Rattus norvegicus: one gene and its partner. The protein of the gene in region 2 interacts with the protein of the main gene of each other region in a biochemical or structural test. Links are inferred from orthologs where the notes say so. Each region holds a gene or a part of one and is shown on either strand. Other genes may lie near its edges.

What was found. The genes of interacting proteins can lie anywhere in the genome.
Region 1: the proteins of Ctnnd2 (region 2) and Pdzd2 form a complex in vitro, tested with the Homo sapiens proteins (2 studies listed by BioGRID and IntAct, with this or other methods). The link is inferred for Rattus norvegicus from reciprocal best matches to the Homo sapiens genes CTNND2 and PDZD2.

The regions. Positions count from the first base shown.
Region 1 is NC_086020.1:63,111,959-63,117,366, reverse strand, and holds part of Pdzd2 (PDZ domain-containing protein 2), read left to right. Parts: intron 1-3,142; coding exon 3,143-3,306; 3' UTR 3,307-5,408.
Region 2 is NC_086020.1:82,877,051-82,883,862, reverse strand, and holds the start of Ctnnd2 (catenin delta-2), read right to left. Parts: upstream 4,395-6,812; 5' UTR 3,794-4,394; coding exon 3,757-3,793; intron 1-3,756. UniProt on the Homo sapiens protein: Has a critical role in neuronal development, particularly in the formation and/or maintenance of dendritic spines and synapses. Involved in the regulation of Wnt signaling.

The DNA of each region.
Region 1 (5,408 bases), about 20 Mb from region 2:
ATTCACACGTGTGGGTTCTGGAGATCCGAACTCTGGTCCTCACACTTGTGATCAACTGAGCCATCCCTGTACCATGAGGGAGCCCTTACAGTGTTCAGATGCCTAAGCAGTCAGGAATTGTGTAATTATATGGCTGATGTCAGCACATAAAACACAAACAGACCTGAAACTCACAAATAGGTCAGATGTATAAGAATGTCAGATCCTCTGGAGCTGAGTCACAGACAGTTCTAAGCTGACATGTGGGTGCTAAACATTGAGCCCAGGGTTCTCTGGAAGAACAGCCAGTGTTTTAACTGCTGAGCCATCTCTCCAGCCCCCAAAACTCATTTATGGTTAGAGGATGTAGACATGAAACTGGTTGTTCTTAGCTTAAGATTGTGTATGTGTGTATGTGTGTGTGTGTGTGTGTGTGTGTGTGTGTGTGTGTGTGTGTGTGTGTGTGTGTTGTCAGACAGGGTCTCACCATGTAGCCTGGCTTGGAACTCATAGAGATCTAATTGCTTTTGCCTCACTGATTTGCTTTGATCAAGTTTCTGAACTTGTGGTCTCTTTCTGTAATTACATGGCTACTCTGAAACATCTCTCCATTCCAGACACAATGTTAATATGAGCTGTGCTTTAAAAAAATAAAAATAAATTAGGGAAGAGAGGCCAAAACTGTCAACTTATGCACCCCAAGCAGCCACGGGACCAAGAATAAGCAGCAGATGCCAGCCTAGGCCGAACTGGTGTGCTCTAGGATTTCCCAGTGGGTAGAGCCTTTATCACAAGACCATCTCTGAAAGATTCACCTTCCCAAACCAAGGCCATCCTTGGCCCTTCCCTGAACCTGTCACATCTCATCATTCTAGATCTGTCTTCCGTCTCTGCCAAATACATGTGAACAATAAATTTCTTGAGTCTTAGGCAATTATAAAACCTTTCCACCTGGGCAGAGTGGCTTACGCCTGCAGTCCCAGCACTCAGGAGACAGGGGCAGGATTGTGGCAAGTCTGAGACCAGCCTGGGCTTCATATAGGGAGATCTAGGACAGGAAGAGCTACACAGGAAGACCATGTCTAAAAACAAAACAAAATCAAATCTCTGTAGAAAGGAGAAACAAAGCCCATGGTAGTGTTGGCTCAGAAATGTTCAATCAGAACTGAAGCTTACAGGCCCACCCAAGTGTAGGGGCTGAGCACCTCCTGACTCTGTGGGACTGCCAAAGGTAGGTATCCAGTGATGGGAAGGACTGGACCCTCCCCTGACAGGAACTAGAAGCAAGACAGCTTGTGTGGTAGCTTACACTAGCATCCAAGACAGGCTGTCTCTGTTTATGGCCCCACATGCTAGCAGAAAACAGGCACAAATCTGGAGTCAGGCATGCTGTGTGCAATACATAGTCAAAGCAGTACTAGGAGAGGAGAACCCCCATACTCACTAAGAGAGAACAGAGAATGGCATAAGGGAAGCATGAAGCGATTCATGTAAGCGTACTCACACAAGTATCAGCTCGCAGAAGAAGAAGGCAAAGTCCCCTGAGAGCCCATTAGAAGCTAAAGGCAGGCTACCCAGAGTCCCGGCTTCAGGCAGAGCAGTGCAGGGTACAGAATGGGAGCCCAGAGAGCCTTGCCAGCCCAAAAGCCCAACGGGTGGGCATTCATCTCTCTCAGGCTCTTACCTTCTTTTGTAATCAACCGCAATCACAGGTACATAAATAGCACTTTTTGTGATTCAAAAAAAAATGTGTACGGTATACACCATGCAAGGGCAGTTGCCCAGAGGGCCAGATGTTGGAACCCCCCAATACCAGAGTTATTGGTGGTCATAAGCCACCAGATATGGGTGCTGGGAAGTGAAGCTGGGTCTGAACCCGGGTCCTCTCAAAAAGCAACAGCACTCCTAACTGCTGAGCCATCTCTCCAGCACCTTCTTAGCGTTTTTATTATCTTGTGTCTGGCCATGATGGTCAGAGGACAAACTTCAGGAATCAGTCTTTCACCTTTACCCACTGAGCCATCTTGTCAGCCCTAAATACCTAAAATGGGCTTCAGAAACATGCATCTGCTCGGCTTTTTGAGATCTGCGATTTCTAAGAAAGTTACCTTCCCCTCTCCAGCCCCAGAAGTTTCTATTTCAATGCATCTTTTCTGCGGTAACATTTTCTTCCCCAATGCGCTTTAGGTCTGTATACAGTAGCAGGGAGGAGAGAGAGGAGGGCTTGATTGCTAAGAGCTCGTAAATGTGTTTTAGCTTCTACAAAGCTGTAACACAGGAATGTGGGAAGCTCTGTACGTTGGTAACGTTGTCACCACAGTCCCCACGACCTGATGAGCAGGTAACCTGTGATACTCAAAGCCAGACAGCTGACATTTTGGATGATATCGTTTCTATGAGCTTGTTGGATGTTTGTTGGTGTTCGTTCCTTCCTGGTTTCCTTTGACCAACTCTGTATTTGCTAATGAGGCTGTGTTTTTAATTTAAAGTGATTTTACTGTTTGAGTACACAGACTTTACACCACCGTCACAGAGGCTGCAAATGATTCAGACTGGAGTGGGAGGACCCACCGCTAAGTTTTATAACATACTGGCTGGTAAACACCACTCCAGGCGAATCAGGCAGAATTTAGAATCTGTATCCTTTGTGTGTCTCAAGATGCTTATGAACGACTTTTTCAACCAAATGGTAGACACTGTTAGGAAAAACAAAGCCCCTGTGGAGCATACCAGTTTGTGGAGAGGTCAGACCTTTCTTGGCCAGTTCATACATCTGTACCTTCATAGTCGGACATCAACTCCAGCCAGGTGAGGGTGTGCTAGTGCTAGCAGAGAACCCTGAGACAAGCCCTTCCCTGGAACGTGCTTGTGACTCACGACGGCAGTGGTCCGGTGGCAAAAAAGGAATTTGTGGTTCTTTATTATAAATACATTGTCTTCCCTTTGTGAATTGTGGGCTTGGGACTTGTTTATATTGGAGGGACTGCTCTAAGTTAAATAATACAAAATAGAGAGAGAATGTCTGTTTAAAAGAGAGAAAAGGAAAATAGTCCCCTAGCCTAAGACTATAGAAACATCATTGAGGAATATTTACCATTTAAACTTTTAGCTGCCTTTTTAAAGATGCAGGTGTTAACAGTGGGTTCTGCGTTTGTTCTGACAGGCGGTGCGGCCGAACGAGCTGGAACAATAGAAGCGGGTGATGAGATCCTAGCCATTAATGGGAAGCCCTTGGTCGGGCTGGTGCACTTCGATGCCTGGAACATCATGAAGTCTGTTCCAGAAGGGCCCGTGCAGCTAGTGATCAGAAAGCACAGGGATTCGTGAATTTTTCACAGGGATCTCCTTCCCTAGATTTACTACTTTACCAGAACGACTTCTCTAAACGATGGGTTCTTGAATCAACAAACAGCTTAGACAAATTCCATGATTGTACTTTTACAATGAAGCCCGAACTCTGGAAACCACCTACCTGGACCGTCAGGGCTGGGAGGGCATCATTTCATTCAGTGCCTCGGATCAAGAGTGGACGTGCTCTTCATCTGGAACGCCTAGCTGCACCCTCACCTCCCTCCTGCCACCTCTCCCAGCATCAGTCCTGGTGAGTAGGGACCAGAGGATAACACAAATGCCCCAGCGAAAATGATTTATGTATGTAGATTTATATAATTTTGTAAGTAAATGACAGTGCTTTTAGGTACATGCAGTGGAAGGCAGAGCTACGTATGTTACCTTGAAAAGGAAAATGAGACGTAAAGAAAATGAATTTATGACCTAATTGTTAGGCAGAGCTCAGGAATCACCCAACAGTGAAAAAGAAAAAGTGCTATTTTTTAATGAACGTAATGTATGATACGAACTAGGAAGTTCTGATGGTTTTCTGTTTCAGAGTGTAAGTCATAAGGCCGTTCCAGAGCGACAGTTCTGACGAGTTGCAATAAATCGCTGTGAGCTTCCCTTCCTGGGAGGAAGTTCTAGCCCGAAAGCACCTTGCATCTAGTTTTCAAACTTGAGTACATGGTCGAATTCAAGGCTGATCAACACAAAAACAGGCAAAGTTGTCAGCGTGTTTCTGTTTCCACACACATACATGCACCCCCACCACCACCACCACCACCACCACCCCCCCCACCGGAAAGGAATTTGAGAGTTCAATCCTTCGACTTGCAAACATAGGCATTCTGTGGTCCAGACTGAGGAGCATCCTCTCGGGGAAATTTTCTTGTTAGCTTTTCTCCTTTCCCCTCCAGACCTAAAGAAGCTGGACTACAGTCCAGCTCTCTTCCCTGACAGAGATCTGCGGTGGTTCAACTTCTTGCTATTTTGGTTTTTCCTGTTTTGCAAACTCTTCCTCTTGCTAAAACTAGGGTCCCACTGATCATTTTGACTCAAGCTGCTTGTAAAACTCCTCCGGCTTGGCTGCCGTGAACTTCTTCGAAGCCCTTCCTCCTCACAAGCTGGCTTTTCCTCCCTTTGCACTGACCATCATTTTCTTAAATTCCAAAGCCTCGCCAGCTTCCTTTACCAAACAAGGAAAATGGAAAAACAGGGTGAGTCATTCTCAAGGAAAAGGACTGCACAGTGTTCACCACCCTCTCCTCAGGTGGTGCCACCCAGTGCTGGGTCCTGGGGTCTTGGGTGGAAACCTCGTTTTCAAATCACGCATGCACAATGCTATGGTTTCGCCGCTCTGGTTAACAGCTGGGTCTAGGGGAAAGACGGCTGAGGTGCTTGAGCTGCTGTTGCCTTCGTACGTCATCATCTGAGCCCGATCCTGCTGGCCGCCTGCAGAGGACCCAAGAGAGGGCCCGTAGGCGGACGCGATATACCTGGCTCATTTTCAACAGGTCTCACAGAGAAAACTACAGTCCAGGAGTTAGCTAGGAAAACTGGCTTAGCATCTTCTTTTCCTTACAGTTACAAGTAGGATACTCTTAAGACGTCAGTGCAAGGTGCATGCTAGGTTGTCGTTTAAGTCTCAAGGGTCAGTTTTCTGCTTTCTTACTTGAATGATAATTTTAAGTCAGCACGGAAAACCATTTTTTTCTTTCCTTTTTGTTTGCCTCTACTCCCTTACAGTCATGCCTATTAAGTCCTTTGTGAACAGACAGGACTTCCGGGAGCAATGGCCTCTTTCCAAGTGTCCCCAGAGCTCCTATCTGAAGAGTACACGGAGGACTTGCTACACCATGTTAAGTCATCAAGCATTTGGCCTGGATCTTCCCAGCTAACTGGGAATGTAAGGGAAGAAGCAAGAGCTAGCCCTGTCTCTGACCCTGAGATAGAAAGCTATTTATTTGTGTTCAGTGTTCAAGGCATGACTAGTATTGCTGATTAGTCTAATAAATCCCCACACTTCCTGCAGTGAACACTAATGGTATTGTTCTAACCCTTTTTCTTTCTTTGTATGTGGTCAGTCACTCACAGTA
Region 2 (6,812 bases):
CATATAAACATATATAAATATATAAAAATAATTAGCATTCAGCACATAACCTGACCAGGTTAAAAATGGGTAAATGCATGTTTAAGACAGAAGTTTTAGGAATTACTGTCTCACTTATCTGGTCATTGTTTGTAGCCTGTCAAAAACAATTGATACAGAATAGAACTTCAATACCATAATGTTGATGAACCATTCAACCAAATCAATTATCCAAGATACAAACCTTGAAGTCACCTCAACTGCCATGTGATTAAAAGGCAAAGAACTGGAATCATCACCATCCCACACTTTTGTATGAGTCTTATAATTTAATGGACTAAGATCACAGGATGATAAAATATTCCTCTGAGTTTTCTGTGTTGGAGGTACTGTTTGTGAATATAATTGGGTTCATTAAACCTAACCAGGCAGTTTATTAATCAGTGGGCTGGATTGGCAGACAATGTGATAGAAACTATTTATGTATGGCATGTTCAATATTTTATAGTCATATAAAAATGCTTCTACGTTGGCATGTAATCAGACAAACTTGAAGCTAACAACAAGAATCGTGAACTGCTTTTCTGAAATCAACTTTTCGCACACAACAATATACAGCTCATTCATCCATCAAAGGATTTCACCTTTGGAATACGGACAGTGATGAGCCTCGAGGAAGCCACTGAGGTAATTTGCATTTAAAGTTTACTTACTCACAAGTGAGTTAGCAGAAGCCCATTGTGCGACACCTTCAACAAACTGGCTTAAAAACTAACTGGTCAGTATCTGACTTTTATTCATAGTTTGAATTTGAGTTTAAGTGTGTCCAACTATGTGGGATCTTTTTGATGTGAAAATTATGTCAGAAAGAGTAATACAAGTATCACTTCCCTTTAACTTGACAAAAGAGAAACACTGAGAAGGGAGTGTTCATATTCTATTCATAACGGGGGAAGGGGAGCATTCTGGGGAAGTTGGAAATGTAAATATATTTTATGTTAGTTCCAGTTGGCCTTTACAACTAGATATACTGATCCACACAAAAAATACATAGTTTTATAAACAAATTACTAGAGATCATTTCACATTTAAAACTAATGCTTTTCCTTTATAAAGGAGAACACACACACACATACACACCACACACACACAATATATATATATATATATATATATATATATATATATATATATATATATCTCAGAACTCTTCAGCAATTGCATGTAGAGTTACATTTGGGGAGAGGCAATACACATTCAATTACATGCACGAAGTAAAATAGTTACAGAACATTATAAGTTCTTTTTTCACTTTTACAGTCCATTATGAAGGCAATATTAGGCTTAGAAAATATTTAACAAAACTACAAATTGCCTTTTCCAAATAATATTTTTTGAATTTCATTTTTCCTCTCTATGATGAACTACCGAACGGGAGGAAGAATTGATGACTTCTACTGTATTGTAAAAGGTGTGAAGCAGCTGGTAATGCTGTAATTTGACTGTGCATGACTTATTAAAAACAATGCAAACATTAATGACATCTATAATGCTTTGGTTTTACAACTGCTCAAACACACACACACACACACACACACACAGAGAGAGAGAGAGTTAAATAACACCTTTCTACAAGATTAGGACAATTTCATTACAGAAACAACCTCATGCACTTGCTATAACTGCCATTCAGTCAGGTACTATCATTATCAACACACAATACGGTATAGAAGCCTCATGCAGAATACATGGAGTTTTCCTCACGCCCAGCAGCTGCTCTCTGGAAGCACACACAGGCACACAGTGGTGTCAACTAGTCTACAAGAATCATGGTTAAAACTGAAACACTAGACTCAATGAGAGGAATGGAAAGGAATGGGAAAAGCACTCCTCCTTCATCTAGGGCATGTTTCTAATAGAAATTTCACATTACTATAACACAAGGTCTCCAAGAGTGTGCTCAAAGCGCTCCTGTAAAGTTCCCTGAATGTGAATAAAGGTGAAACTACATCAGTGTTGGCAAAAGAATCGCAGCGTTCCCTTAAGCCTAGCAGTGTAGCCTCTGGCCGTGCTTTTCCCACGCTCACTTGTTATTAGTAAAATTACAGTCTTTCTAAATTTCAACAACCAATTCCAAACATAGCCATCTTCATTCAAGCCTTGGACCTTGCAACCCACAGACCAGTACGGATACTGTTCAACATTAACAATGGATTCTGCTTGGCACGGAGAATCACTAAAGGAAGAGGTATCCGGTTGATGAAACCGGCTATTCCATACACAAGGATTCTTGTCTCTATTGGTCACACTTTCCATATATCCGATCCCTCAAATCATGCACTGGTCTACGTTGGCAATCCAAAAAGAGTCAGATCAAACAGTCTTCCACTGGATTTTAGTAGTGTGGCTGGGGAGCCTTCTAATTACAGTGAGACATGCTCACTAGCAAACACATCAACTGAACTACCATTAGTGGAAGTGTGCAAAATGAGGTAACTTGTGGGCAGGGGCAACACCTCCCCATTTTCATGGAAGTCAATGCTGAAAATTCTCAGCGTCTTACATATCAGTCACACAGTTCCTAAAAGTGAACGGTCCGTCATGCTTCTCAGGCCTGATTTTTGCTCATTACATATCTCTCTTCTAAGCCAACATATTTGTTAGAGAACATTAGGCATGCATATGTATTAAAGCCTTGCAGAGCCGAAGCACAGCAGATCAGTTCAAATGAGGGAAATACAAACCCCTTGCAAGCACTGCCTCCCCCTCTATTATCTTCTTCTTCCACACCCTCCATTACCCCGGTGTTTACAGAGAAAACGCAACTTTGGGTATTTGAGAAATAAGTGGCTCGTTGTGGAAAATATAGAGATGCACACCCCCTAAGCCCCTAAGTCTGTTTTCCCACCACCACCACCCTCCCTCAAATCGAGGAGGTTGCACCTCTTTCCTAGAGACTTTACTCTGAACAGAGTGGCTCAACATGCTGAGTATCAATCGATGAAAACACATTACACACCAGAAGAAGAGGAAGGTCGGGTGGGGGGAGAGCGAAACACAGCTTTGCTTTCAGCCATTAATTACGAATCACCCAAATATCGCTAAGCGTATCTCCCATGCACAAGCACCCTTGCCAAACCTGGCTGTCAGGCAACGCTTTCCAGAGCTTGCTATCTATTGTCAGGACAGAGAAGCCCCCGGAAGCCTGTGAATCCCTCTGAAAATGCTTCCTCGGAAACGCTAAATATAGACCAAAGGGGTCTGGGTCTGGCGAGCAGCGGGAGACTGAAGAAACGGCCATGGACGTATATGACTAAGTCTTTCCATTTTGTTCTAGCCAAACATCGTAATGACATTGAACATAAGGGCAAAAGACTGGAAGGAAGTCTTCCCCGCCCCCACCCCGTCTTCTCCCGTATATTAGGGACGTCATGAATGCAACCGGGTTGCTCTGGAGGGTGGCGGGGAGCAGTCGGTGTTGCCCTATATACGTGTCCTCCTAGGTAGAGGGGTGGCAGGGAGGGGAGCACGCGGGGAAGCCACTTGGTAACCGCTCCAAGAAAGACACTGACCCCGGACCCCGTTGCGGGTAGAGCGGTCTTTGGAGAGGGGACCCGGCAGGATCGTGGTCCTCCCCCGGGGCAGACAGCACCCCACAACCTCCGTCGCCACCCCTGGCCCGGCTGGCAGCGGAGGACCAACCCCCACCGGCGGTGAGCAAGAGGACGACGCCCGGAGGATGCGCCCGGCTCAAGCAGCTCAGCTAAAGCAACTCACCGAACGGCGCGGCGCCCGACTGCTTCCTGGCGAACATGCACCCGCCGCCAAAGACAGCTCCTCAGTCCGGGGAAAGGCGTGCGCGCCGCCGCCCGGCTTCAGAGCAAGGTCCTGACCTTGCCCAGCTGCAGCATCCTCCGCTTTTGTTGTCGGAGCGCGGCCGCGGGACAAGTGATGCTGGCGGGGAGCAGGGGCGAGCGCGGCAGGCGAGAGGCGGCTCCCGACGCGAGTGCGCAGCGCCCGGCTCGGCCGCTCCTCCGAGCGCGGCGAGCGTAGCGCCCCCTGCCCGACTTGGCGGGCGCCGCGGGATGCTCGGGGTTCCGCGGGGCTCCCCGATCTCGGGCCGGGCTACCGAGCTGCCGCGCCCGCCGCTCCGCTCGGCCGATTGCCGCCGCGGGCGCGAGCCTGGGCCGCCCTGGCGCCCGGCGCCGAGCGCTCTCGAGCTGCGCCCTGCGCGCCGCCCGCGCCACCTGTGTCGCCGCCGCCGCCGCCGCCGCCGCCGCCGCCGCCGAGAGCGAGGCTCCTCCCGCCGCGCGCCGCAGCTCAGCCTCCGGCTCAGCCGCGGCGGCCGGCTCCGGCGCCTGGCTAGTGAGCGAGCGTCCGCCCCGCCACCGAAACCTGCCCCGGGTGCGGAGCATGCCCAGTGCCGCCGAGAGAGCGCGGCGCCTCGCCACGCGAATTCCACTTCTGGTTTTCGCGGCGGCAGCAACAGCAGCAGAGATGGGAGGAGGCGGCGGCGCAGGTTGGGAGAGGGCTGAGCATTCCCGGGAGCAGACAGCACCCGAGCTAGAGCGGAGATGGAGAGTTGATTCTGCGTGGCAGATATCAGTCTGCAAAAGGGCAGTGACTGAGGGGTTCTAGAGTAGCCTGTGAGTTAATGAGAGCACTGGGCCAGCCATGCAAGCTAGTGGATGGGGGTGGATGTTCTTGTAGGTTCTAGGGTTCCAAAGCAAAAAACGTATGTCGTCTGTGAGAGGTTCTTTCACAGTGTTGAGCCCCATCTCCACCACCTCCAGTGTTCAGATTATGCTTTTCACAGACACCCTTCCCCTATTCAAACTCAGTCTGGTTTTAAAATCTGGACTATGAATAAACTTCCTACAACGAAGACCCTCGCCGGATCTGGAGCTTTAATGATTTCTCCTCCTCTGCCTGTCACTTCTTACGCAGTTGTCCTCTTGGACACCTCCAACTTTTTCCCTCTTCAGTTCCATTGTCTGGTGCTAAACCGGTGCTAAAATGGAAACTTTCCTCCTCCACCTACCCCCTGGTGAAGTCTGTGAAGCTTTCTCCATTTCCAACTGAGATTTCCAACTGTCTCTCAGACAGTCATTAGGCAACAGAGTGCTAAATCTAACAAGTAAAGTCACACCATGGAAAGTCTTGTTGGAAAATGAAAGGCATCCCAAGTGCCAAGGCAAGCAGGCCCTCGGGACCTTCAGCTATGTCCCTGTGTTGCTGCAAAGTCTGTCAGTCACATTCGGGACAAATACTTCTCATAATTATTCCACCACGAATCTCCCTTGACCCCAAAGATCCTCACTCTAAAGCTGTCCTCTCCTCTCTGCTCCTTCCTGGAGCCATTTTCTGAGACACAGATAAACAGGACAGGAACCACGAACTTGTCCTAAGAGCGGTTTGCAGCTTCAGCAATCTCAGGAACGTTTCTATTCAGTTTGCGGTAGATTATCCAACGGACTCAAAATATTTGTGTTAAGTCTGAGATATCCTCTATTATTCTCTGGGGGTCAGTGAAAAGGTTGAGAAATGTAAAGAAACGTTAAAGAGACTAAATATGTAAAGTAACACACAGGAGATTGAACAATGACTGTCCTCAACAGTGAAGTGTGCGTCGCATTCCACCTGCCCTCTGTAGATTTGGTCTCACTCGGAAACAGTTGTTCTCCGGTGTAGCTACTACTTCAAACCTAGCCTGATTCCTGCGACAGAAAATGTGGACATTTTCAGGTGTTTTATACGTCAGCTCAAGTTGAATCTGTAACTTGGGGCTTATAAAAAGCATGCGTGCACACACATGAATATGCACGCGCACACACACTGTGCGTGTGTGTGTGCGTGTGCGTGTGTGTGTGTGTTATGTAATAAACGATGTGCTTAGCCTCTGTGTGTGTTGCTGTTTCTAGTTGTTTGATTTGTATGTGGTAGCATGTGTGAAAGATATGTGTATGTATATGTGACTGTTTGTGCTGATGTCTGGAGACCAGGGGACAACTTAATGCTCTTTTCTGTCCCTCTTACCTTTGTTTTTTAAGACACTGTCTCCACTGAACCTGTGAAACTAATGTTGGAGGCCAACAAGTCCCCCAAATCCTCGAGTCTCCAGGTCCCCTCAATACTGGAATTACAGGTGTGCACATAGCTTCATCAGTCATTCTGTGGGGATCCTGAGATCTGAACTCAGGTTCTCAAATTTTCAGAATAAACACTCTTACTGACCCATCCTCTGGGTCCCTGATTTTCTCTTCATGAATTTTAACTCAGTCAGTCAGTGGGAACAGGGAACAGGTTAAGACAAAAATCAGATACCATAGTAGGTATCCTTAGAGCATATGCCTATTTTTAAATCCAAAAGGATCCAGTGAGAAAAAAAATGGTTTTCAGAAATTGTTTGCTTTATTTTATGAGAAATTGCAAAATTCCCATTGATTTATTGATCACTATGGCAACACCCATGATCAGTCCCTGAAGAACTTCTTGTGGTGGGTGCGGGGTACTAAAGAAGCAGATGTGGACGACAAGGATTTCGCTTATTCTTGACGCTTTTCATTGAAACGTTTATGATATCTATCCTTCCAGAATTATTTGTAACTGGAGATATTATTAAGTTCACAATTAGATAATGTAAAAGCTGGGGTGAAATGCTCCCGTGTGGTGCTGAGTCTTCGGACGACTCGCTGCTGCCATCTTTTGCTTGCTGCTTCTGACAGTTCCAGCGAGGAGCAGAATCCTGAATTCACACATCCACTCTGAGTCCAGAAAGTTGTTATTCTGGTAGTTTCGAATTATACCAATCAATGCTAAACGAAAAATCGGTA